Callithrix jacchus: one gene and its partners. The protein of the gene in region 6 interacts with the protein of the main gene of each other region in a biochemical or structural test. Links are inferred from orthologs where the notes say so. Each region holds a gene or a part of one and is shown on either strand. Other genes may lie near its edges.

The links.
Region 1: the proteins of CREBBP (region 6) and CREB1 form a complex in vitro, tested with the Homo sapiens proteins (15 studies listed by BioGRID, with this or other methods). The link is inferred for Callithrix jacchus from reciprocal best matches to the Homo sapiens genes CREBBP and CREB1.
Region 2: the proteins of CREBBP (region 6) and STAT2 form a complex in vitro, tested with the Homo sapiens proteins (2 studies listed by BioGRID). The link is inferred for Callithrix jacchus from reciprocal best matches to the Homo sapiens genes CREBBP and STAT2.
Region 3: the proteins of CREBBP (region 6) and GTF2B form a complex in vitro, tested with the Homo sapiens proteins (2 studies listed by BioGRID). The link is inferred for Callithrix jacchus from reciprocal best matches to the Homo sapiens genes CREBBP and GTF2B.
Region 4: the proteins of CREBBP (region 6) and ESR1 form a complex in vitro, tested with the Homo sapiens proteins (2 studies listed by BioGRID). The link is inferred for Callithrix jacchus from reciprocal best matches to the Homo sapiens genes CREBBP and ESR1.
Region 5: the proteins of CREBBP (region 6) and PML form a complex in vitro, tested with the Homo sapiens proteins (2 studies listed by BioGRID). The link is inferred for Callithrix jacchus from reciprocal best matches to the Homo sapiens genes CREBBP and PML.
Region 7: the proteins of CREBBP (region 6) and ATF1 form a complex in vitro, tested with the Homo sapiens proteins (2 studies listed by BioGRID). The link is inferred for Callithrix jacchus from reciprocal best matches to the Homo sapiens genes CREBBP and ATF1.

What each region holds. Positions count from the first base shown.
Region 1 is NC_133507.1:129,038,895-129,042,394, reverse strand, and holds part of CREB1 (cyclic AMP-responsive element-binding protein 1), read right to left. Parts: intron 2,860-3,500; coding exon 2,677-2,859; intron 1,500-2,676; exon of another isoform or gene 1,477-1,499; coding exon of another isoform or gene 1,437-1,476; exon of another isoform or gene 907-1,436; intron 627-906; coding exon 476-626; intron 1-475.
Region 2 is NC_133510.1:63,281,051-63,284,980, reverse strand, and holds the start of STAT2 (signal transducer and activator of transcription 2), read right to left. Parts: upstream 2,801-3,930; 5' UTR 2,773-2,800; exon of another isoform or gene 2,566-2,772; intron 1-2,565. UniProt on the Homo sapiens protein: Signal transducer and activator of transcription that mediates signaling by type I interferons (IFN-alpha and IFN-beta).
Region 3 is NC_133508.1:126,085,752-126,089,251, forward strand, and holds part of GTF2B (transcription initiation factor IIB), read right to left. Parts: coding exon 3,424-3,500; intron 3,296-3,423; coding exon 3,166-3,295; intron 1,647-3,165; coding exon 1,365-1,646; intron 1-1,364. UniProt on the Homo sapiens protein: General transcription factor that plays a role in transcription initiation by RNA polymerase II (Pol II). Involved in the pre-initiation complex (PIC) formation and Pol II recruitment at promoter DNA.
Region 4 is NC_133505.1:158,537,463-158,541,475, forward strand, and holds the start of ESR1 (estrogen receptor), read left to right. Parts: upstream 1-1,213; 5' UTR 1,214-1,346; intron 1,347-4,013.
Region 5 is NC_133509.1:20,936,633-20,940,132, reverse strand, and holds part of PML (protein PML), read right to left. Parts: intron 2,678-3,500; coding exon 2,534-2,677; intron 2,095-2,533; coding exon 1,836-2,094; coding exon of another isoform or gene 1,828-1,835; intron 747-1,827; coding exon 694-746; intron 75-693; coding exon of another isoform or gene 1-74.
Region 6 is NC_133513.1:5,892,137-5,895,636, forward strand, and holds part of CREBBP (CREB-binding protein), read right to left. Parts: intron 1,820-3,500; coding exon 1,702-1,819; intron 1,197-1,701; coding exon 1,025-1,196; intron 70-1,024; coding exon 25-69; intron 1-24. UniProt on the Homo sapiens protein: Acetylates histones, giving a specific tag for transcriptional activation. Mediates acetylation of histone H3 at 'Lys-18' and 'Lys-27' (H3K18ac and H3K27ac, respectively).
Region 7 is NC_133510.1:68,761,333-68,764,832, forward strand, and holds part of ATF1 (cyclic AMP-dependent transcription factor ATF-1), read right to left. Parts: intron 3,295-3,500; coding exon 3,164-3,294; intron 1-3,163.

The DNA of each region.
Region 1 (3,500 bases), on a different chromosome or scaffold from region 6:
GAATTTTTAGATATTAAAATGTTATTATTTTGAGCAAAGATAATATTCATTAAAACATGATCTGGCCACCATACATTTACTTTATATCAAGTAAATTTAATACAGATAAAACTTAACACACAGTTAATACATATATATGAAACTCTTGATCTTCTTGAACAATACTACATATGAAATAAAACCATTTTAAAGTAACCCGGCTAGCTGGCTGGAGTGCAAACATAGGAAAGTTGTGCATTACATCTGCTGTGGGGAAACTGCATGAAAGAAAACTATTCCATAATCAAAGATTGACCCATAATCCTATAGCCATATAAGTGCAGCTTATTAAATAGAGAAAATTTAGCAAGATCCATTACTTCTGCCAGGAAAAAAAAATGCAAAGATCCTATTACCAGTAGATGTAAAGACACATCCAGCAGAATGTGAAGACATACTTGACCCACAACAGTCTAAGTCAATGCAGTCTATGTACCTGTTCTTCATTAGACGGACCTCTCTCTTTCGTGCTGCTTCTTCAGCAGGCTGTGTAGGAAGTGCTGGGGAGGATGCCATAACAACTCCAGGAGCAATAGTGCTAGTGGGTGCTGTGCGAATCTGGTATGTTTGTACGTCTCCAGAGGCAGCTGAAAAAAATAGTGAGCATGGTGTAAGACAGAAACATTGCAACTTGATTCAATTATATATATCAATCATCAATCTAAGCATGTATTTTGGACTAAAAGGGAAACAAAAAAGAAAAGATGATTCTGGCTAAAGTATTGAAAGAATCAGCACTCTTTGCACCCTTACTAAGAAATAATTCCCAATGTAATGTATTTATTACAGTAACCTATATCTGCTGGATCTTATACTGTATTTTTCATTTGAATGCAGTTCTATTCTGTCATTAACATGCTTACCAACCTTAAGTCTAAAAGGTAAGTGGGACACAGCTTGGATGATCTTCCTAGATAGAGTATAGTCCTCAATGTCTTCCTCTGATATTGGTAAATTCATATTAAAAAATTTCAAGTAGACTCTTGCCACGACATAAAAACCACCATGATTTTTCATAAAATAGCAAAATGAAAAAGAAAATAAAGCATTATGGTCAACTATTATAAATTTCTAATTAAAACAAAACTGAAAGTATGAGAAAGTGTATCACTTGATACCAATTATATTATTTGAAAACATATTGTTTTAATGTAAATGATAATGGCTAAATAAACTGAAGTTTTATTTTTCTAACTGATGCACCATTTGTAAAAACAAACAGAATCACTATTTGTCAAACTGCTTCTAAAGACAGCATAATAATATGTTCTCCTAAGAATAAGCAACCTGTTACTTAAAAGAATTTGAAGGTCTTCATAAAATTAATCATATTAATTATTAATATCAATTAAAATGTATGGTCTGAGTGGAAAAGATTTATATACTAAACATGTTACCATCTTCAAACTGACGTTCAGAATTCAAATTCACTGACATCCTGCTTTACAATTTTTGAGTACCTGCATGTAAAGTGAAAAGGTGTTTTACTCTCATCAATAAGCAAAATGTTATCTTTTTCAAATACTTGTTTAATAACAGAATATATTCTGTAAACATCAGGGTTCTTTAAATAAGTTATGACTCTCTCCAGATGGTGTTTCAGGATTATTCAATTATCCATGGTAAAAGAATACAACTATCATTACCTAACACAGGCTAAATGCATTATTATTTATAAAAATATTTTCAGAAACAAATTTATTTTCAGAAACAAATTTATTATTATTTCCTCAGTCAGCAAATTTCTAAGCTGGCATTAACTATGTTCTTCAAATATTCAAACAAATCAAAGAAAAATGGTTAACTGCTATCCATAAAGAGTCCTGAAATACACAGGAAAAAAAAAAAAGCAAAAACAAACAAACAGCCAAAAAAGCAACTTCTATAATTTGTCAAAAATTTAACGACTACTTTTTCTCTAAAGAGCAGCAAATTTGCATATTGGTATAAGTTCTTGTTGAATATACTGCTTTCATATGAAATAAAAACTGGGTCAAGTGGAGAGGCATCTCACCACTTTGGGAGGCCAAGAAAGGAGGACTGCTTGAGGCCAGGATTTAAAGACTAACCTAGGCAACATGGCGAGACCCTGTCTCTAGGAAAATAATAATAATAATGATAATAAAAACTGATGATTTTAGCAAATAAGATTTAAATTTCTTTTGGATAAAAGGCAGAGAAACAGAATCCTGAACTTCCGAAGATTCTTTTCAGAGATTTAGTGCAACTCTTATTTGACACATGAAACAAACAAAATACTTTTCTGAGGCCCAGAGAAGCTGGGTTTTACTCAAGGTGTCATAGCAGATCCATGCAGTTAGTTATAGAATCCATCTTTCTTAACTCCCGATTTCCTGGTCTTTCCTTCTAACCTACCCTGTTTCTTCTACCCCAAATGATAAAGGTGTTAAATGCAGATGTAATATTTTTAAAACTGAAAATAGTTGTTTTTATGCCATGACATTTTGGTCCAATTGGAATAATGGAAGAGTTCATGGAAAAATACTATCTATATTGAAGAAATGTTAACTACATTTGAACAGTGCTTTGCAAAATGATACTTACTTTTTCTGTGAGTTTACAATATTTTTGTATTTTGAAGAATTTACCACACCTGTGAATTCTGAATTCCCTTACCTTGAACAACAACTTGGTTGCTGGGCACTAAGATCTGCTGTCCATCAGTTGTCTGTGCATACTGTAGAATGGTAGTACCCGGCTGAGTGGCAGCTGCATTGGTCATGGTTAACGTTTGCAGGCCCTGTACCCCATCGGTACCATTGTTAGCCAGCTGTATTGCTCCTCCCTGGGTAATGGCAACTAAAATCCAATGGATTTTATAGTTACAAGTTTAAAAATACCATATAAAACTTTTAACATACTAAATCCAATGTAGAATAATTTGTAAAATAATCTAGGAGAAATTATAGCAAATAACATCACCAAGAAAGGTGTGATATATTCAAGTAACCTGCTTCTCAGGAAACTCATATTCAATTTCTGTAATAGAAATGCACTCTATGAACTGCATTATAATTTATAATAACAGCTGTTAATATTTTTAAAAACAGGTAAGTAGGAAAATGTTAAATTCCTTCTGAAGTTATTTGGTTCTGACAAGTGTTAATACATTGAGCATTAACTATACAATGTATTAATACTTGTCCCATTAGTAAATAATTCCTCGAGAGTAGGATTTTTCTTATCTACTTTCATGCACTTAGCACAGTGGCAGGCATGAAACCCAATAAATGGTTGTTTTAACATATAATTAATAAAGCAGTTCATCAGTGCATCCTACTCCCTAACTGTTGTAGAAATTCATTAACAATATCGAATCCACTAAATGAAACAACTGAAATATCCTATGGAACTTAATTATTAGCAGTCTCTTATGAAACTTTAAAATCAGCTCAAGATCATCATTTAGAAAAAAGTTTTACTGTCATTTCCAATTTAAT
Region 2 (3,930 bases), on a different chromosome or scaffold from region 6:
ATACCACAAGGATCACCATTCAACTTTAACATTGCTATTTCCACTATCTTATTTCATCTATCTGCCTAATTAATTTATTTTACATTTATGTGTTTATTTGTTGTTTATATTTGCTTATGCTAAAGCATTTAAAGATCAGTGTTGATATTAAGTATTTTTTACAGCATGATCTCTGCTGGCCCTGAAGCTTTTTTGTTTTTTTTCTGAGACGGAGTCTTGCTTTGTCACCCAGGCTGGAGTGCAGTGTCATGATCTCGGCTCGCTGCAAACTCCGCCTCCTGGGTTCAAGCAATTCTTCTGCTGGGCTTATAGGTGGCTTACAGTAAGTAGCTGGGCTTACAGGCGGCTGCCACCATGCCCCCCTAACTTTTGTATTTTTGGTAGAGATGGGGTTTCACCATGTTGTCCAGGCTGGTCTTGAACTTCTGACCTCAGGTGATCTGCCTACCTCGGCCTCCCAACGTGCTGGGATTACAGGTATGAGCTACCACACGCAGCCACTTGAAGCTTTTTTAGGAGCTAAATCTTTTTGGAGGTCAGGTAAGTATACCCTATAAACCACCTTCTATACAGGAAGGAGGAGTTCCATTCTAGAAAACATCTAAATGCTGTGCAATGGATTGCTCAATCCCTAAGAATATGACACTTTTAGGCTGGGCGTGGTGGCTCATGTCTATCATCCCAGCACTTTGGGAGGCTGAGGCGGGTGGATCATGAGGTCAAGGGATCGAGACCATCCTGGTCAACAAGGTGAAACCCCGTCTCTACTAAAAATGCAAAAATTAGCTGGGTGTGGTGGCGTTCGCCTGTAGTCCCAGCTACTTGGGAGGCTGAGGCAGGAGAATTGCTTGAACCCAGGAGGTGGACGTTGCGGTGAGCCAAGATTGCACCATTGCACTCCAGCCTGGGTAACAAAAGCAAAACTCCATCTCAAAAAAAAAAAAGAATATGACACTTTTATGACCTATGAATCTTGAATATGATTATGGGTTATCAACTTTGTGAGATCCTGATACTTTATGTAAATTTGTTTTTTTAGGCCAGGTGCCGTGGCTCACGCCTGTAATCCCAGCACTTTGAGAGGCCTAGGTGGGAGGATCACTTGAGGTCGGAAGTTCAAGACCAGTCTGGCCAACATGCCAACATGGTGAAACCCCATCTCTACTAAAAATACAAAAAAATTAGCAAGGCCTGGTGGTCGGCGCCTAATCCCAGCTACTCAAGAGGCTGAGGCAGGAGAATTGCTTGAACCCAGGAGACAGAGGTTGCAGTTAGTGGAGTTCATGCACGGTACTCCAGCCTGGGCAACAGAGCAAGACTTTGTCTCAGAAAAAAAAAAAAAAATGTTTTTTTTTTTCTTGCTTGTCACAAAGACAGGTTTGCCTGTCACCAAGCAGGCTGTGCCATGCATCTTTCTCCCCATCTTTCCCTGTTCGTTGACATCTGGTGTCTATTTAGGAAACTGAAACTTATACTTGTTGCAATCTGAGCCTAACAGAACAGAATTTATGCATGTTTGTGGTCTAAAAAGGTCACGTGATTTTATTACAAAGTAAAGAGAAATGCTTGGGGTAGGACAGTACTCTAACATAAATAACATCAGCTGCCTTTCTACCTCTGGAAGTAGAAACAAGGGAAAGGAGGGATTGTGCAGGGGCTATTTTCATTTTAAACCTTTTAGTAGTGCTTGATTTTTAAAACTATGTAACTGTATTGCTGTTATGATACAAAAAAATATAAGTTAAAAAAATGATTAGGTGGCCATGCGTGGTGGCTCATGCCTGTAATCCCAGCACTCTGGGAGGCCTACAAGACAGGAGGATAGCTTGAGCTTAGGAGTTTGAAATCAGCCTAGGCAACATAGTGAGCTTCCATCTCTTAAAAAAAATTTTTTTTTTAATGATGAGGTCTCAATTCTTGAGGATTTAAGTGTTTAGTATGAAACGCACAAGGAAGCAAAGATTCAAATATTAAAACAAAACAAAACAAAAAACCTAGTCTCCCCAAATGGATTGCAAACACTGAGGTTAAGGGCTGAGACAGTTTTTTCTCGTTATCTCTCACTCTCAGGCACATATTTTACACTCAAGAAGCTTTTCTGAAATGAACTGAATTTTGTGTGTGACCTTAGGTAATCGTTTTATCTTTCAGGAGCTTATACTTTTTTACGAAACAAATAAAGATGATAGATTCATCTATCTGTTTTTTTGTTTTGTTTTTGTGTTTCAGGTTAATCTATCTTTGGACATCGTTTATTTTGGTGAAGACAAAACATAATGCGGAGCAGAGGCAAAAACTTTGGTTCAGCTACCGAATCAACATAAGGCCAGATTCCGGGTCTCGGAAGCTTCAGGGGACTTTGGGGAGAGGGCCATTAGGGTTGGGGAGATAAGCTCGGCAGGAGAAGTTCAAAGACCGAGCCGGCGACAGCTCCTATTTCAACCTGGGGACAGAGGCTGCCCCCTCCAGGGCGTACGTAACCCCTGAGGCCAGTCGCCCTTCCCTGGGAGGAATTCTCACTCTCACCCCCACCCCTACCCCAGCACACACTCTCAGGGCCCGTACCTGATTAGGGGTGGCAGTCCCCGCGCCCTCCAGTGGCTCTGGTCGCGACTTCCCGTGCCTAGAGGGATCTCGGGTACTAGAGCCTCCCGCCCCGCCTACAAGTTCGGCCAACCCCCTCGGATCCGTCCCCTTGTAAGGTGGCCCTGAAGTCCGGAGCTGCCCCTTTCCCAGCCACCACCCCGACACTGCCATCAGTCAAGTCCTTACCAGACTGCTAGCTCATTGGCGCCGCCGCAATTCCGCCCCATCCGTGGGGCGGGACAAGCTGAGCCGAAACCACACCTCCAGTTCCAGCGATTGGTGGAGAAGCTCAAATAGGCGCTGCCTACGAGGGGAGGAGTCCAATTAGTGGACTAGCCCAAGACTGAAACAGCTGATTTTCGAGAACCCGCGCGTGGGCCAAGGAACCGAAACTAGCTTGAGGACTCTGGAGACGCCAAGGGCCCCATGGGAAGGGGTGGGACCGGAATTTCGACGTCTTGGGATAGGAAGAGGAGGGCTGAGGTAATGAAAACAATATTTTAAAAATAGTCTTTTATTTTTTGAGATATGGTCTCGCTCTGTCACCAGGGCTGGAGTGCAGTGGCAAGATCTTGGCTCACTGCAGCCTCGACCTTCCGGGCTCAGGTGATTCTCCCGGCTCAGCATCCCAGGTAGCTGGGACTACAAGCGTGCATCACTCCGCCAGGAAAATTTTTTATATTTATTGTAGAGATGTGGTTTCGCCATGTTGCCCAGGCTGGTTCTGAACTGCTGGGCTCAAATGATCCTCCCGCCTCGGTCTCTCAGTGCTGGAATTACAGACGTGAGCCACTGCACCTGGCTAATAGCTATTTATTGAGAGTACTGTGATAAGCCCCCCCTTTTTTTTTTTTTTTGAGACGGACTTTCGCTCTTGTTACCCAGGCTGGAGTGCAATGGCAGGATCTCGGCTCACCGCAACCTCCACCTCCTGGGTTCAAGCAATTCTCCTGCCTCAGTCTCCCGAGTAGCTGGGACTACAGGTGAGCACCTCCATGCCCAGCTAATTTTTGTATTTTTAGTAGAGACGGGGTTTCACCTTGTTGACCAGGATGGTCTCGATCTCTTGACCTCGTGATCCACCCGCCTCGGCCTCCCAAAGTGCTGGGATTATAGGCTGAGCCACCGCGCCCGGCCCAGCACTTTTGATTCATCGTATCATTTTAAATTTACACTGCAACTCATTGAAGTTAAAATTATTCTCTCTCATTTAGAAATTTAAAAACTGATCTTAGTTCAAGAAAGAAGTTACTAGTCAGTGATTACCAGGCACCATCAGTGGAGCCTTGATTCAAAACCAAACCCTCTGACTTCAAGCCCCAAACATTTACGTTTCTACCTTTC
Region 3 (3,500 bases), on a different chromosome or scaffold from region 6:
ATCTACTTATTTCAGAATTTGTATTAGGAAACTGTAAAATACTGTACAAGATGAAAAAAAAAACACCATTCACAGAATGTTAAAGGTTGATAGCCAACACATATTTTACAGTGTGTCTATCTGTAGGATCCCATGCCAAGCAGTGAGAAACAACGCATGCCTCCCTGACCCCTAAGATTTAAAAAGGTAAGTTTGGGGAGGAAATGAGTATTCAAAATGATCAGGAGGAAGACATTTAGGGGACAAAAAAAGAACTTGTAAAAATAAAAGATACACAAACTAAAGTTTTTTTTTTTGAGATGGAGTTTTGCTCTTGTTACCCAGGCTGGAGTGCAATGGCGCGATCTTGGCTCCTGGGTTCAGGCAATTCTCCTGCCTCAGCCTCCCGAGTAGCTGGGATTACAGGCATGCGCCACCATGCCCAGCTAATTTTTTGTATTTTTAGTAGAGACAGGGTTTCACCATGTTGACCAGGATGGTCTCGATCTCTTGACCTCGTGATCCACCCGCCTCCACCTCCCAAAGTGCTGGAATTACAGGTGTGAGCCACCACACCCAAGTTTTTTTTTTTTTTATAGGTTTCTCTCTCTGAACATTTTATTTATGAGCTACTTAAAAGCAAAACATATTTTTTTTTTTTTGAGACAGAATTTTGCTTGTTTTCCAGGCTGGAGTGCAAAGGCGTGATCTCGGCTCACTGCAACCTCCACCTCCTGGGTTCAAGCAATTCTCCTGCCTCAGCCTCCTGAATAGCTGGTTCTACAGGTGCGCGCCACCATGTCCAGCTAATTTTTTGTATTTTTAGTAGAGATGGGGTTTCACCATGTTGACCAGGATGGTCTCGATCTCTTGACCTTGTGATCCACCTGCCTCGGCCTCCCAAAGTGCTGGGATTATAGGCGTGAGCCACCGCGCCCGGCCCAAAACATATTTTCTTAATGTTTTGAGGCTGAGGAATGATATCTTATATGTGGGTCTTTTTTGTTTGTTTGGTTTTTTGATACAGAGTCTTGCTGTCACTCAGGCTGGAGTGCAATGGCACCATCTCGGCTCACTGAAACCTCTGCCTCCCAAGTTCAAGCAATTCTCCTGCCTCAGCTTCCCAAGTAGCTGGGCCTACAGGCTCATTTTGTAAGTTTAGTAGAGATGGGGTTTCACCATGTTGGTCAGGCTGGTCTCGAACTCCTGACCTCAGGTGATCCACCCACCGTGGCCTCCCAAAGTGCTGGGAATACAGGTATGAGCTGCCACACCCGGCCATACGTGGGTCACTGATATTTACCTGCTTCACACTTAAAATGGAAAAACAATCACATGCTGCAAGATTCCCAGTTTACTGCCAACTTCCTGGTGACAAACCCTACCTTTCTGGGTCCTCTTTTCAGCTGATGCCTGTGAGGCCATGTAAATAGCTGCTGCTGCCACAGAGATGGGGCTCCTCCCGGGAACCAAGTCCAATTCCACAGCTTTACGGGCTATATGTGTAGCTGCCATCTGCACTTGTTTAGGAAGACAAAGATTGGAACAGAACCTGGACATAAAGTCCCCAGTTGTAATCAAATCCACACTGGTTTCTAGTGCTTTCAAAATAAGTTTAAAACACCGACCAATTTCTTTCTTAGAAATTCGTGATACAGCACATATTTCTAAAAGAAAAAAAGTTTAAATATGTCAATTATTTAAGCCATATAGTTCATTTTAAAATCTACCATTTCTTATTATAAACATAATATCCATTCTAATTGCAAAACATTCAACCATGCCTTAAAGATGAAACCCTAATCCTCTCAGTGATACTTCCCACAGAGGTAACTGCAAATTTCTCAGTTAACTTTAATGTTCACCACACTTTGTTTTTGAGACAGTCTGTCGCCCAGGCTGGAGGGCAGTGGCATGATCCCGGCTCACTGCAACCTCCACCTCCCGGGCGCAAGTGATTCTTCTGCCTCAGCCTCCTGAGTAGCTGGGACTACAGGCATGCACTACCTCGCCTGGCTGATTTTTGTATTTTTAGTAGAGATGAGGTTTCACCATTTTGGCCAGGCTTGCCTTGAACTCCTGAACCTCAGGTGATCCACCTGCCTCGGCCTCCCACAGTGCAGGGATTACAGGTGTGAGCCACTGCGCCCAGCCTAATGTTCTTCACTCTTTAAATTTAGGTCTTAATCTTTCAAAATACTAACTTCTCTAAAGATTAATTCATGCAAGTAAATTTCTTTAAAGAAAAATTCTTTGATATTTACATATTAATCTGTTGTAAGCAGTGTGTTATCAAGATGAAAGAAGCTAAAGAGTGTCTCTTAGGCAACACAATGTCATGTGTACATGAAATCCCTGCGATTATGAGCTATGTCTCGATGAGAAAAAATACCTGACCGTGTTATTCCCAGATGCAACCACCATACACTTTCTGAAGAAATTTAACAAAAGCCCTGTTGTACTTATAACAACAACAAAAAAAATGATCAAGGCCATCACCTCTTCACTTTTACATAAGAAAACGTAAAAAATACTGACTGGATGAATGAAGGGTAGTATAGTCTTCAGCTAAACTTGAGCTTTGGTAGTGAAAGTCAGTGTGCAACATTGTGAACTACTGGTCACGTATTCACATGTAACTGCAAACTAGATGAAAAATACCAGTTTTTTCTAAGCCTCCAACTGAAGTGTAAAAGTGCAAACAATATATCTCAAGAGAAAAAACTTCACTGACATTTTCTTTTTCTTTTTTTTTTCTTTTCCTGAGACAGATTGTTGCTCTGTCATCCAGGCTGCAGTGCTGTGGCATGATCTCAGCTCACTGCAACCTCCGCCTCCCGGGTTCAAGCAAATCTTCTGCCTCAGCCTCCCAAGTAGCTGAGAGTAAAGACAGACACTACCACACCTGTTAATTCCAGCACTTTGGGAGGCTAAGGCGGGAAGATCACCTGGTGTCAGGAGTTCGAGACCAGTATGGCCAACATGGCAAAACCCTGTCTCTACAAAAATTAGCTGGGCGTGATGGCACGTGCCTGTTATCCCAGCTACCCAGGAGGCTGAAGCAGGAGAATTGCTTAAACCTGGGAGGCGGAGGTTGCAGTGAGCCAAGATTGCACCACTACACTCCAGCCTGGGTGACAGAGCAAGATTCCATCTCAAAAAAAAGAAAAAAAGCTAAAAACTTACCTTTAAATGTCCTAGGAACCCCTTCTTGTCTACAGGCAATATAGAGACAAGCGGAAGCTATAGCATCGTTAGCTCTTCCCTTCAGGCTCTTCTGTTCATACACTTGCTTGAATAAATTATTCGTTCGATCCTTCAAAGCAGAGAAACTAAGTTTAACTCTATGCTATTTAATTAGTTGCAATATCAAAATTTCATGTGTTCGTTAAATTATGCCAAGTCAATGCCAGAATGGCTTAGAGGAGGTAGACAAGAACTTACAACTATATTTCGAGGTAAATTGATTCTGTCTGCCATGGTAGTGATTTCTTTGAATGCATTCATCATTGCCCGATCAG
Region 4 (4,013 bases), on a different chromosome or scaffold from region 6:
ATAAAAATGCTTACAGAACCCCTGCAATGCGTTAGTATACGTGATTATTCCTTGTGTAAGTGAATCTTGTTGAGATTTTATGTTCAGTCACTTGAAATTAAATACTTTACATACTAACTAAAATGTGTCCTGCTCTCTGTATTCTGGAGAAGCTTCTCTCAGGCAAATTAACATATTCAAATTATTTTATGGGCTAACTGACAAGTATAGAGAAGATTGAAGACAGTTAAGATCATTTATTTCAAAATGTTTTAAAGCATTGATTATTTCTTTTGGTTTTCCTTCCTTCCCATGACAGTTTTGAGGTGTAGCTTACTTGGCAGACGTCACTCTGTACTGGGTACTGGGACAGAGAGCAATACAATAGCAAGAGAGAGATTCCTCCTCTGCCCCCTCTATCATTCTCACTTCCAGAAAACCAGCCTTTTTCAAGACTTGTAAAGAAGAAAAAGCGAAAATATTTTTAAAAAATCATTGAAAGTACATACTGCATAAACCACAGCAGACATGATGAGATATTAAAATTTCAATGTTATTAAAAAATTTTAATATGATTTTACAGCCCTTTTTCTACTTTAAAATGTGTATCTTAGTGTTAAACAAACAATCAATAACCACATAAATTTAAAAATTGCTGCAGGAAATACCGGACAGTTTATGGAAGGATCATGCGACAGAAATTAAGGACCAAAGAGCGTAAGGAGCTAGACCTGTGCAGGTTACCGAAGTCAAGAACCTAATTAATCAGTAACAGGAAGTGCAGAGCCGGCTTTTGAGTCCATGCCTGAGTAAGAAATTCCCAAATAACACTAACAGAAGACATTTCCTTACCCCTGCTTTTAGTTTAGCTCTAGCTAACTTTGGATTAACAAAATTTATGTGCTGAATGAATGTTTTATTTTTTTTTCCAGCCCCACACGCCTGTCTAGACTTTGAGCTTTATTAGGAATAAAGAGAAAAATCGGCTGGAGGGCGTAAAAAAATTTCAGGCAGATTAACACATGATTTACCTCTTTTTGAACATCCATTTTAGTGGAAGTGCTAAGAAAGTTAGATTCAAGCCGGGCTTGGAGAAAGCAAGGCCACCCCCTCCTCTATGTTTTCAATGAGATTTTCCAATCCTAGTCAAATGGTGGTGCTAGTTCTTTATTTTTGAGTTACTGCATTTCCTAATTTCATGGTCATAACAGCCTCCTGTCTACCGAGTCAGAACGGATTTTACCAAAACTGAAAATGCAGGCTCCATGCTCAGAAGCTCTTTAACAGGCTCGAAAGGTCCATGCTCCTTTCTCCTGCCCATTCTATAGCATAAGAAGACAGTCTCTGAGTGATAATCTTCTCTTCAAGTAGGTACTCCTATTTCTTCTCAATTTATTTTTTCCTTTTTGATATAATGTGCTACTGTTTACAAGCATATTGTAACTTCAGAGCTTACGTCTCATCTTTAAAAAATGTTCATTTTTTTCCTCTTTCTGCTCCAAGGATATTTTGCAAACTTACTGGCAAGTATTCCTAGGATGATAAAATGTGAAATCTAAACTTGGTACAGTGGAAATTCACTTCTAGAATAATATTTAGCTGAGGCAGAGGGCAATCCGACTACCCTGTTCTTAGTACAGCACACACAGGCTGCCTGTCTGCTCCAGATAACATATATCTATCGGATCCAGCACTAGCTAGGAGACACCGTGTTGTTGAGCTGTGTTAGAATTTTAAAAGTTCTTAATTAGAGAAATCTCAGACTAGCAGGAACACATTACCTGTTTTCTTAATCTTTGGAGCCATAACTTATATGAGTTTGAACTAAAAGATGTGAATGATCCATTATTTGTTTCCTAAAGGCAGTCAAGTTTTCTGAAAAGCTACACGTCCAGCAGCACAAGAATGAACGATTCTGTCTTGAAATTGGCCTCTGATTTTAAGCAAGTTCTTTTGAGTCCTGGTGTCCCATTTTCTCGGTTCCTTTTTGCCTCTCAAAGGCACACGCATAATGACTTCACCACATATAGCAGTGGGCTACTCGGGTAATGATGTGGCAGTCACAAGACAGGGCAGAATACTTTCATTTTGGTCAGAGGCATGCCACATGTCTTAGGAAATGCTCGTTGAACTGTAAGTTTCATGCTTTGTCAAGAAGATAACCAGTATTCTCTCAAGTCCATAGGAGCCGACGTGATTAAAACATTTTAAAGCAATTTACTTGATAGAAGGGTTGGGCTTTATCAGGACTTGTGATCATGGCAATGGTTCCTGCTTAAAGGTGCCAGATTTTTAACGCCTTTATGTGTCAGATCTAATAGGCTTACAGAGCAACTCTATGTATATGAGGCTGCTGGGAAACTCATCCAGTTTTGAATGTGGTATATACATATTTTAATGTTGAGAGTAAACTTAGGAAGACCAGGCAGAAGTGTTTGAACTGAATTCTGAAATGTACAGAGAATTTAAATTGGGTGAGAATGTTTGAGGTCCACGGTTCAGGGTTCATTTCGATACCATAAAATCCCCTCCTAGTTCTTAAAAGCAAATGTTTTCTTTGATTTTGTTAATGTCCTGTGAAGACCGCCGACTGGGCTGTGAAATGCATGCAGATAATGCCGTAGCGGTTGGATAAAATAATCTAGAATGTTAGATTTTCAAGGAAATTAGAAATAAAAACAATGTAGGTAAAAGGCATGATGTAGGAAAACAGCAGAATTTTCATTAAGAACACAAGGGTCGTATTTACAAGCAGAAGATTTTTCTTGGACACTTGGAGATATTTGTTTTGTTTTATTGCTCATGACAGTCAAGGAAAGGAATACAATGTTTGGGTCTTAAACTTGCAGCAAGAAAAGTCAAACTATCTTTTGTTTCTGAGAACTCTTGTCTTTGTTCAGTATTGGGTTTAGAGCTAGCTACCACCCACCTTCCCTTCAAACACTCACTCTAAACCTCCACACAGCATAACGATGTACATCAGGTGTCTGCCAAACAAGTTCACATGGTTGTCTGCAGGTCTTCTCTTAGTCTAGCTGCACTCATTTATCCTAGTTGGTCAGAACAGTTGCTTGAGTTGAGGGCCTGGTGGTTGAGTTTACTTTGCTTTGAATAGGGAACAGCTCTGCTTCATGACTCCAGATTGGCTATTTGGAAAAAAGGGCAAGGAAAAGAGTGACCCAGCTCTCAGTAGACCATCCACACTGCTGGTAAAAAATAAAATAAACAAAATAAAATAAACAAAATAAACTCATAGCATAGGATTCATCTATGGCAGTGGCGACATGGTCCTGTCCATCTGCCTCTATCAGGATAGAGTCTCCATTGTTGATCTCTGAGAAAGAGGTGCTATCTGTGAAGCCTCCTGCATATTATCAAATAAAGTGCTCTTTTCAAAGGCAGGCACTGTACAGGTAAGACTGATGATGTGTGCCTGCCTTCTGGGCAACATCTCATTAGACTTCCTCTGAATCATTCCCACTGGACACAACAGCAAAAACATGCACATCAGTGAGTTTTATGGTTCTATCTAAGGCATATAACATTTTTCTCACTGAAAGTCTGTGATTGTTTCAGAGAATGAAGGGGCTTACCCTACTCACCTGCCCCTTAAAATATTCTGCTAGAAAGCTGATACCTCTGCTCAGGTTTTCCACAGCACATCACTCTTCGGTGAGAATTCTATTAAGTGGTTCAATTCAAATCCATGGAAAAATGACTGAGTACCCAGTCATAGCTCCCACCACTCTCTAGCTGTGCAATTAGAGGCAGATTATGTCACCTCCATCATTAAATTTCTCATCTGCAAAGTTGGAGTACTAACAGTAGCTACCAGAGAGAATTATATGGAGTAAATGAGATTAAACCACTCATTAAACTCCTTGCAGTCTCTAAACATTAGAAACTCAATATGAGGAAGTTATTTCTACTCTAAGCCTATCACAGTGCCTGTTATTCAATACATGTTGGTTGAATAAATGAAATAATTCAAGATCAGCACCAAAGCTGCTAGGAGTTTATGAACATCTGATCAT
Region 5 (3,500 bases), on a different chromosome or scaffold from region 6:
ACTGTGGCTCAGCGGTCTCCGTGGGCTCCATGCACTTTCCAATACAGAACCTCAGACTGAGGGCTGGAAGAGACCTCAGGGGCCACCCAGTCCATCCTTTCACTCTATTCAGATCCCCTTTTCCCCTGGACGGGTGATAGCCCAGCTCCTAGTAATAATCCTCCAGGGACAGAAGGGTCACTACCCACGAGGCCACTTGTTTCAGTGTGGAATGGATTTACAGTTCTTTCTTACATGGATAGAGTCAAACCTCATTTTCTTGGCCTCTATACAGCTCCCCCGTGGCCTCACACCCCTTCACTGGCCCCCACTGGCTGCAATTAACTAGGAAATGCATTCTTGTCCAGCCCTCCTCACTGAGGACTCAGAGGACAGAAAATGCATAAGGGAGCTCCAGAAAAAGGCCCTGGACATTCCGGAAAAGAGACGGGGTTCTGGATGCACACTATCAGCGTTTCAGAGGAGTACATATGGCTACTGAAGGCCCCTGCCCCGGTGTGGTGGGAGGGCTGGGGTGGTCCAGGCATGCGGCTGGCATTTGGAGACTGTTATCAGCACAGCTTGGGACTCACTGCCTCACTGGAAAATTGCCCAGGCGTAGGCAGATCTGAGAGTCACCTGCTGTGGCTATGCCCCTTGGGACCTGAAATGGGGGTAGGCAGGAGTCCTGGGCTGAACTTCTGGGCCACTCACCGAGTTTTCGGCATCTGAGTCTTCCGAGCTGCTGATCACCACAATGCGCTCCTCTGAAATGGGGAAGGGGAGCTGAATTACTTACTGCCTAGGACGCATAATGGGAGGGGTGTGGGTATGCACCTATGGGAATCCTTGCAGGCCAGTGCACTGAGGGCAACGGATACCCTGCAGGGCGACGGGAACACCCACTGTGTGTGCCAGTCTGAATCTGCTTTGCATTTGGATGTAATTCACAAATGGGTTTCCATCATTTCTTGCTGTACCTTATCTATGAATATTCAATTAAGTTATTTGCCCAGCAATCAGAATTTGCTCCCAGCACAGGAGGCCTGCACCACCTGGTTTGGAACCTTCTGCAATCCTAAAGCAGCACAGCGGTTTGGCCCAATTCTCAGCTCCATCAGCTGGGATGTCTAGAGTTAAAAGATGCCTCATTTAGTTAATCAAAACCCATTGATGACCAATAGCATTGGTGGGTAAGGAATATCAGTCAATGCTCAGTGTGTGACCAGGGCTGGGGCTGAGTCTGGGACCTAGAATGAAGAACAAAGCTGTAGTCTGGGTGAAGAGATCCAGGAAGAACTCTTGCTCCAGATTTCTCTGAGTTGGACCTCAACTCCTGTCCAGCTGACTCCCTGCCTGGCGGTGTCCACAGAGGATAACTCAGACAAATGAGACACTTGGTAGGTGGCCTTTGCAGCAACACCTGGGGAAATGATGGGTGTGGACTGGGAGGGCACAGTTAAGGTCACGGGGAGTCCAGTTTCCTGTGATGGTGTGCCCAAGCCCTCTGGGAGCGCACGAGGCATCTGCCAGCAAACATTTCTTGTGGAGACCTGTCCTGTGCAGAGGCATGGTGCTGGGCACTGTAAGATTAGTGTTTTGGGGAAAGGACTCACAGAACTGTGCATTTTAGCCTGACAGGCTCCCCACACCTTAATCACAGCAAAGCACGTGGTAACCTGTATCCACCCTCACCCCCATGCACACTGTGAACTTTCCCTGCCTTATTCAGTGGGAATAAGGGACTCCTGTTGGCTTTGGGCTTTCTGGATGGGGCCAAAATACAGAAGAGGGGGCCCACCCAGACCCTGGCAGACAGCACACAGGTCAGGTCACTCCCCTACCCACCTCCCTACCTGCCTCCCCGGCGCCACTGGCCACATGGTTGCTGTTGGGCAGGATGACCTCACTTCCTATGTCGGGGCTCTCGGCGCTGGGCAGCCCATCCAGGTGGGGTGGTGAGACTGCCTTAGAGGTGCTAGGCCTAGGCTGCTCGGGGGAGCTCCGAGCCAACCTCGCCTCCTTCCCCTCCTCAGATTCCATCTTGATGACCTTCCTGGGGCACTGGGTCTGAATGCTCTTCCTCTTCTGGCCTGTGGTTGTATTGGAGACCTCCTGCACAGAGGGAGTCACAAAGCCAGGTCAGCTGCCTCAAGGGGTGAGTGGGCACAGCCTGCCCTGGGTGCCAGGGCCTTGTGGCTACCCTTTTGCTCCTGTTGTCCCCTCTCCTCTGCTCTCAGCCATGCAGATGTCTCTCTTCAGACAGGAAGCCTTCCCAAGCTGGCACCATCTGCTGTCTACCAGTCTCTGCTGGCCTTTGACAGCCCTGAGTGTCTCAGCACCCCTGCTGTGCTGGGAGTGGTTCATGCTTATGGGGAGCTCCCAGATCAGGCAGCCGAGAACAGGGGACAGCATAGAGAAGGCGCTGAGCAAACACTTCCCCACAAACAGCTGATCTGATGAAGGCCTGGCTTCCCGCCCCTCGGCACCACTTCACTTTCCTGGTGGAATCCAGGCCTTCAGGAGGGGAGGCCAGGGCTGGGGAGAACCTTACCTCTCTGTAGGAAGGGCCTTTGATGGAGAAGGCGTACACTGGCACGGGGTGTGCCCCGGGGACTGACTGTACCACAGCCACAGGCTGGGCTTCAGCCAGCCCCAGGGCCTGGGCCTGGGCCTTCACTCTCTCTGCCTCCTCGGGCTGCAAAGTTGGGAAAATTGGGTCAGAAATGACTAGGCAGCAGCCCCAAGGCCAGGTACCCCAGACCTGTGGTTGGCCCAATACCTGTGGCTTACCCACTCACAGGTTCAGGCTCCCTGACTCAAAGCTCCGAGCTCACTGGGGACAAGAAGTCCTCCAAACTCTCTATCACATCACCTCCTTCTTTAAAGAGAAAAAAACTGTAGAGACAGGGTCTCACTATGTTGCACAGGCTGGTCTTGCACTCCTGAGCTTGAGCAATTCTCCAGTCTCGGCCTCCCAAAGTGCTGGGATTACCCGCATGAGCCACCACACCTGGCATCACCTCCTTCCAACTCTGAGTTACTGGCGCCCAGGGACTGCTTTGGTTCTTGAGTGTTGTAACAGGGCTTGAAGGTACCCCAGGAATCGCACTGCCCAACGCAGGACATGCTCAGTAACTAGCCCAGCTTACACACACACCTCCAGGGACACACCTCACTACTGGTGAAAGCAGCTCCTGTAACAGTGAGAAAATCCTCCCGCTGAGCTGAAACTGGCCTCCCTCGGACCTTACCTCTGCCTCTCAGCCTTAACTCTACCTGGGTCAGCTACTACACAAGTTGGATGAATTGCTTAAAACTTTTTGGGCCTCTGTCCTGCTCTGTAAAATGGGAATAATAACATCTATCTCATATGGTAATGTGGATGAAATGTGTTAATACAAGTAAAATATGAAATACCTGGCACTTCGAAATGCCATTGATAATGATACATTGATAATGCCAGGCACGTGCTGAGTGCTTTGTGTACCTATCTCCAAATGAAATAGAGGCAGTTCCTT
Region 6 (3,500 bases):
TGATTCACAGCAAATAGTTAATACCTTGAGAAACTTGCATGCGATTCACTGGAAGGGGTAGGGGTCCATCTATGGTGGCAAAAAAACAAAAACAAAACACCCTAGTTATTTAATATAATCCTTGATTCAGGAATAGGAATAGGAAATTTTTCTTTGAGATGGAGTCTTGCTCTGTTGCCTAGGCTGGAATGCAATGCTATGATCTCAGATCACAGCAACCTCTGCTTCCCACGTTCAAGTGATTCTTCTGCCTCAGCCTCCTGAGTAGCTGGGACTATAGGCATGCACCACCAGGCCCCAAGAATTTTTGTATTTTTTCTTTTTTTGAAACAGAGTTTTCACTCTTGTTATCCAGGCTGGAGTGCAACGGTGCGATCTCGGCTCACCACAACCTCCGCCTCCTGGGTTCAGGCAATTCTCCTGCCTCAGCCTCCTGAGTAGCTGGGATTACAGGCACACGCCACCATGCCCAGCTAATTTTTTTATATTTTTAGTAGAGACGGGGTTTCACCATGTTGACCAGGATGGTCTCGATCTCTTGACTTCGTGATCCACCCGCCTCGGCCTCCCAAAGTGCTGGGATTACCGGCATGAGCCACCGCACCCGGCGAATTTTTGTATTTTTTAGTAGAGATGGGGTTTCATCGTATTGGCCAGGCTCGTCTTGAACGCCTGACCTCGTGAACCACCCACCTCGGCCTCCCAAAGTGCTGGGATTATAGGCCACTGTGCCCAGCTGGGAATAAACAGAAAATTTCTTATTAGGACTTCAGACTTAAAAACAGCCAACAAGTCCAAAAACACTTGTGTTCCAATGCTGGTGCACCCTTTAAAGGGCCTTCCCAAGAGACAAACTCAGAGTCCCAACATGGCCTGAGGCAGGTGGTCAGGGCCACTGCCACATCAACAGCTTCTATAGGTCACATGTCAAAGACTAATCCTCTATTCTTAGAAATACACCCCAAACATGAAGGAAAACCAAGGAAACAGGCTAAGGATTGGCAGAAGGAAATGGAATGCTTACTTGGGGGTCTCACAGGTTGTGCCTGTGGAATCACAGGGGGCTGAGCCCCTGGGGCTGGTAGGGCTGGCTGGTTCCCCAAGATGCCTTGTTTATGTAGACGCGACCTCCGTTTTTCTTCTAGTTCTTTTTGTATCTTGTAGATTTTCTCTGCTAGTAAGTGATAATATTCATCCTAAAAAGCAATCATATTCAATATGAAGCCGTTAAAACTGTAAAAAGCAACAGAATGATCTGTGTTGTAGGTTCTAACTAATGAACTTCTTCACTGAGTACACTGGCAAAAGTATGCAAATACCTGATGCACCAGAAGCCCACGCTCCTGCTCAATTCCCAATGATTTTACAGGACATGTCAAATAGTAGGTACTAAATACATGTTCCATTTCACTCAAATCAACTTCTTGAATATTCACTGATGCTAGCAATAATACATCACCACCTAATATGAAAAATATATCCCATGGACATAATGTAAATTTATATACTCCATGTACCAATGTAGCTAACCAAGAGAGTTGTGCAGGAAATTTGTGTCTTATCTGGGAGGTCTCCTTGGCCCGTGGCCTCATGTCTCTCCCAACTACACAGATTCCACTGTTTCCAGATAACAACCAGACAAATGTAGTGCTGTCTAGTACAGATGCAGTAGAGGCGAGAGCACGGTGAGCAGCTACCTACCCTGCTGTTGGCAGACTCGTACATGTCCCCTTCCACTTTCTTAGCATAGGCTACCAGGTTTTCCATGCGGCGATCCTTTAGAGCTGCGGGATCTGGTGTTGGGAAGATGGCTTGGACTCTGAAAGGATAACACATCTATCAAACTACTTCCTTTTTTTCCCCTAGAGATAAGTCTTGCTCTGTCACGTAGGCTGGAGTGTAGTGACACGATCTCAGCTCACTGCAACTTAAGCCTTCTGGGTTTAAGCAATTCTCCTGCCTCAACCTCCCAACTAGCTGGGACTACAGGTGTGCACCATCACACCCAGCTAATTTCTTTTGTATTTTAGTAGAGACAGGGTTTTGTCGTGTTGTCCAGTGTGGCCCTGAACTCCTAAGCAAGGCAATCCGCCTGCCTCCGCCTCCCAAAAGTGCTAGGATTATAGGTGTGAACCACTATCAAATTATTTTCTTTCTTCTTTTTTTTTTTAAAAAAGGGGTCTCAGCCGGGCACGATGGCTTATGCTTGTAATCCCAGCACTTTGGGAGGTCAAGGCAGGCAAATCAACTGAGGTCAGGAGTTTGAGACCAGCCTGGCAACGTGGTGAAATCTTGTCTGTACTAAAAATACAAAAATTAGCTGGGCATGGTGGCGGGTGACTTTAATCCCAGCTACTTGGGAGGCTGAGGCAGGAGAATCACCTGAACCCAAGAGGCAGAAGTTATAGTGAGCTGAGATCACGCCATTGCACTCCAGCCCTGAATAACGGGAAGACAGGCCAGCTTAAAGACATGGGGTCTCACTCTGTTGCCCAGGTTGGAGTACAGTGGCATGATCATAGTTTACTGAAGCTTTGAACTCCTGGGCTCAAGTGATCCTTCCACCTCAGCCTCCCAAGTAAGCTGGGAGGTACAGGTGCACACCACCATGCCCAGCTAATTTTTAAGTTTTCTGTAGAGACAGAGTTTTACTGTGTTGCCCCGGCTGGCCTGAACCTGGGCTCCAGCAATCCTCTGACCCTGGGCTCCCAAAGCACTGGGATTACAGGTGGGGGCCACTGCACCTGGCCTGAAGCTACTTCCAGTGCCATCAGATGAGCACTACAAAATCAGAATTATCTATCTCTGGTGGCAATACAATGTGGAGAAAAACGCCAAGCCTCTCTTGCCTAGCATATCAATACATGAAAGAAGTAACTCCCTGGAGACAATCCAGACCTATCAACTATCTACACATCAAACCTATCAACATTTTGCTATTAGCAAGTATGTGCTGGGTCATTTCCAGAATAATACGATTTCAAAGCTCTGATTTCTAAACTACCTATTACTAAAAAAAAAATTCGATCAAAATAAGGAAGGGAAAAAACTCAAAGGGAATGTAAATCTGGTTCATTTAAAATAATTAGCTCAAGAAAGTTAGGCCTGGTATCACCACACTTCATACCACCCAGCACTTTGGGAGGCCAAGGTGAGAGGATTACTTGAGGCCAAGAGTTTGAGAGCACCCTGAGCAACATGGCAAGACTCCATCTCTTTCTCTTCAAACAAACAAACAAACAAACAAACAAACAAACAAACAAACAGGCAGGGCTCAGAGGCTCACGGCTGTAATACCAGCACTTTGGGATGCTGAGGCGGACACATGACTTGAGGTCAGGAGTTTGAGACCAGCCTGATCAACATGATGAACCCCTATCTCTACTAAAAATACAAAAACTAGCTGGGGGTGGTGGTGCATGCCTGTAATCCCAGCTACTTGGGAGGCTGAGGCAGGAGAATTACTTAAATCTGGGAGGCAGAGGTCGTAGAGAGCTGTT
Region 7 (3,500 bases), on a different chromosome or scaffold from region 6:
TTTCAATGATAACATGTGAATGTCCCCCCTACCTCTGATCTCTGCTTCCAAGTTTCTTTCCTTGCAACCAGTGCTTAGCTTCCTGCCTTCCTTCCTTTCCTTTCTCTCTTTCTTTCTTCCCTCCCTCCCTCCCTCCCTCCCTCTCTCTTTCTTCTTTTCCTGAGACTGGTCTTGCTCTGTTGCCCAGGCTGGAGTGCAGTGGTATAATCACGGCTCACAGTAACTTCGAATTCCTGGACTCAAGAGATCCCACCTCAGCCTCCTGAGTGTATGGGATTAGTCACATGCCACAATGCCCAGCTAATTCTTCATTTATTTTATTTACTGTTTTGTAGAGACACAGTCTTGCTATGTTACCAAGGCTGGTCCTGAACCTGGCTTCAAGTAATTTTCCAGCCTCAGCCTCTCAACGTACTGAGATTATAGGCGTGAGCCAGCATGCCTGGCTCCCAGTTTCTCAAGAATATATATATTCATTCTTTAATTCATTTATTCATAACAAACGTAACTGAAAGCCTACTACTTGCCGGGTCCTATATGTCGAAGATGTAGTTGTGAATGAAACAAATAAGGTTCTTTCCCTTAAGGACCTTATATTCTAGTGGGGAAAACAGATAATAAATAAGCTAATCTATAATTACATACATACAATCTGTAATTAAACTAATATATACTGTCTTTTAATTATATGTAAATTTATAAAGAAAAATGCAGGTTGTTAATGAAAACTAAAGGGAGGAGACACATGTTTGAAAAAGAGTGATCGCTTTGTGGAGGTGACACTTAAGCAGAGCAGGGGCATAGGATGCAAGCCATGTAGGGATCTGGGAGAACATGCCAGGCGTGAGCAGTGACAACTCCAGAGATTCTGAGGCAGAAACAAGCTTCGTGTGTCTGAGGTACAGTATAGGAAGCTGGGTGGTCAGAATGCCATCAAGTGGCAGGAGATGAGGTCAGAGCGGTAGGCAGATCCTAAATGCAATGCCTTGTAAGACTGAGATTTTATTCTAAGTATGATAAGATGTCAATAGAGGATTCTGAGCAGGAGTGATGTGATCTAGTTGACATTTTAAATAAATCACTTTGGCCACAGTATGGAAAACTGATGATTAGAGCAAGAATGGAAGCAAGATGACCAACTGGATGCCTACTCCAGTAATTCAGATCAGAGTCTAAATCAAGGTGGTGGTGGTTAGAGATGGCCAGAGGTGGTCAGATGGGACATACACATTGTGGCAAGACTGAATGAGACGAAGATTAATGTTAGGAGTGGAGGGAGTAATAACAAATGGGCAGCACTAGTAAATTCCTTAGGGTGATAGAATTACATCTCGATTGATGGTGTGAAACTATTCTATACATTTGTCAAAACTCATAGACTTAAACTCCCCAAAGAGTGAATTTTACTGTATATAAATCAAACAATAAAGATTTTTAATGAATGGACAGGGGCCAGGCGTGGTGCTTCACACCTGTAATCCCAGCACTTTGGGAGGCTAAGGCAGGTGAATCACTTTAGGTCAGGAGTTTGAGACTAGCCTGGCCAACATGGTGAAACACTGTCTCTACTAAAAGTACAAAAATTAGCTGGGTGTTGTGGCACACACCTGTAATCCCAGCTACTCTGGAGGCTGAGGCAGGACAATGACTTAAACCTGGGAGGTAAAGGTTGCAGTGAGCCAAGACTGTGCCACTGCATTCCAGTCTTGGTGAGGAGACTCCATCTTAAAAAAAACCCAAGACAATGAACAAAACAGATCTAAATGTATATTATATTAAATACCACTTTCATCCTATTTCTGTATCAGTGAGCTAAAGATACAAAAGCCAAAAAAATTTTTGAAAAAAGATATGTATGTGTGTGTAATTTGTTCAACTTTGTTGTGTAATTGAAATTTTTCATTAAAAAAAGATTGGAAGCAAAACTAGAAATTAAACTTAAAAATAAACAATTTATTACCTCGTTAATTTTGCCAAATGTCATTTTAATAAACCAGTAGACCTCATTCACTAAATTACTGGGGAAACGACCTACGTGTTAACCTAAGTACAAATTACTAATCCATAGACTGCTGTTGATCATCAGTGAGGATATATATATTTGTTTGTGTAGGTATTTCTGTTCTATCACTCTGTCTCCTGACTCTAAGCTTTCCTCTCAAAGGCTAGGACCACATTTGCTTCCTTTATAACTTTACCTAGCCCCCAGGTGGGATGCTGTAAACCAAAAGGTGCTCACTTTGTTCTGTGTACTGACTAATATTCATAGCAACACTTTTAGAGATGCAGATTTAGTGTTCTATTAAAGTTGATCAGTTCCTTATTGTTTATGGTGGGAACTCTGTAAATCACACTGCAAAACAATCTCTATCCTCTTTCTGATCCAAATTTCCTTAACCTCACACTGGAAAGTCAACATTTATATTTAATCTTTCATACAGTAATTTCTGCTGGAATTAAGGTAATAGACATAACTGGCTGGCATCCAAAAGAAAAATTTGTAAGATGCAGTATAGTTTGAGGTCAAATTATATGTGTAGACTCAGACAAATCTAATTTTGAATCCCAGCTCCATCATATACAAGCTATGTGACTTCAAGAACAGTATCCAGGCCGGGCATGGTGGCGCCTGTAATCCCAGCACTTTGGGAGGCCGCAGCAAGAGGATCACCTGAGGTCAGAAGTTCTAAACCAGCCTGGCCAACATGGTAAAACCCCATCTCTATTAAAAATACAAAAATTAGCCAAGTGCAATGGCAGGAACCTGTAATCACAGCTACTTGGGAGGCTGAAGCAGGAGAATCGCTTCTGAAAGGCGGAGGTTGCAGTGAGCCAAGAGACAGTGCCACTGCACTCCAGCCTGGGTGACAGAGCGAGACTCTGTCTCCAAAATAAAAAGACAAAAAAACAAATCCAGTATCTAATGCTGTGGGTCTCAGTTCCCTCATACATTAATAACTGCCTATGTAACTGCCTATGTCACAAAGTTGTTGTAGGAATAAATGAAATAATGCTGAAAAAGTACTTCTCATTATTCCTGGCTGAAAATGTCCTTTAATCAATCATCACTATTGAAGTATGGCAATTTTTCTAACACCACTTCTTTCTACAGAGAAGTCAGGTTTTGTACGTTTATAATGTGGAAATTGATTCCTGTACATACTGTACTGTCCGCTGCTAGTCTGATAGATGGGAGCTGGAACAGACATAGAAGTGACAGCAGAAACTCCAGGATTTTCTCCGTCTCCTTTTCTGCCCCGTGTATCTTCAGAAGATAAGTCTTTCAAAATTTTTCTGTAAAAAAACAAACACTGGTAATGTGAATGACTTTACAAAAAGACACTTCTCCCAAGTAGCTGGGACCACAAGTGTGAGCCACCACATCCAGCTAATTTTTGTATTTTTAATAGAGAGAGTGTTTCACCATGTTGGCCAGGTCTTGAACTTACGTGGCCTCAAGTAATCTACTCATCTCGTCCTCCCAAAGGAAATGAAATCCC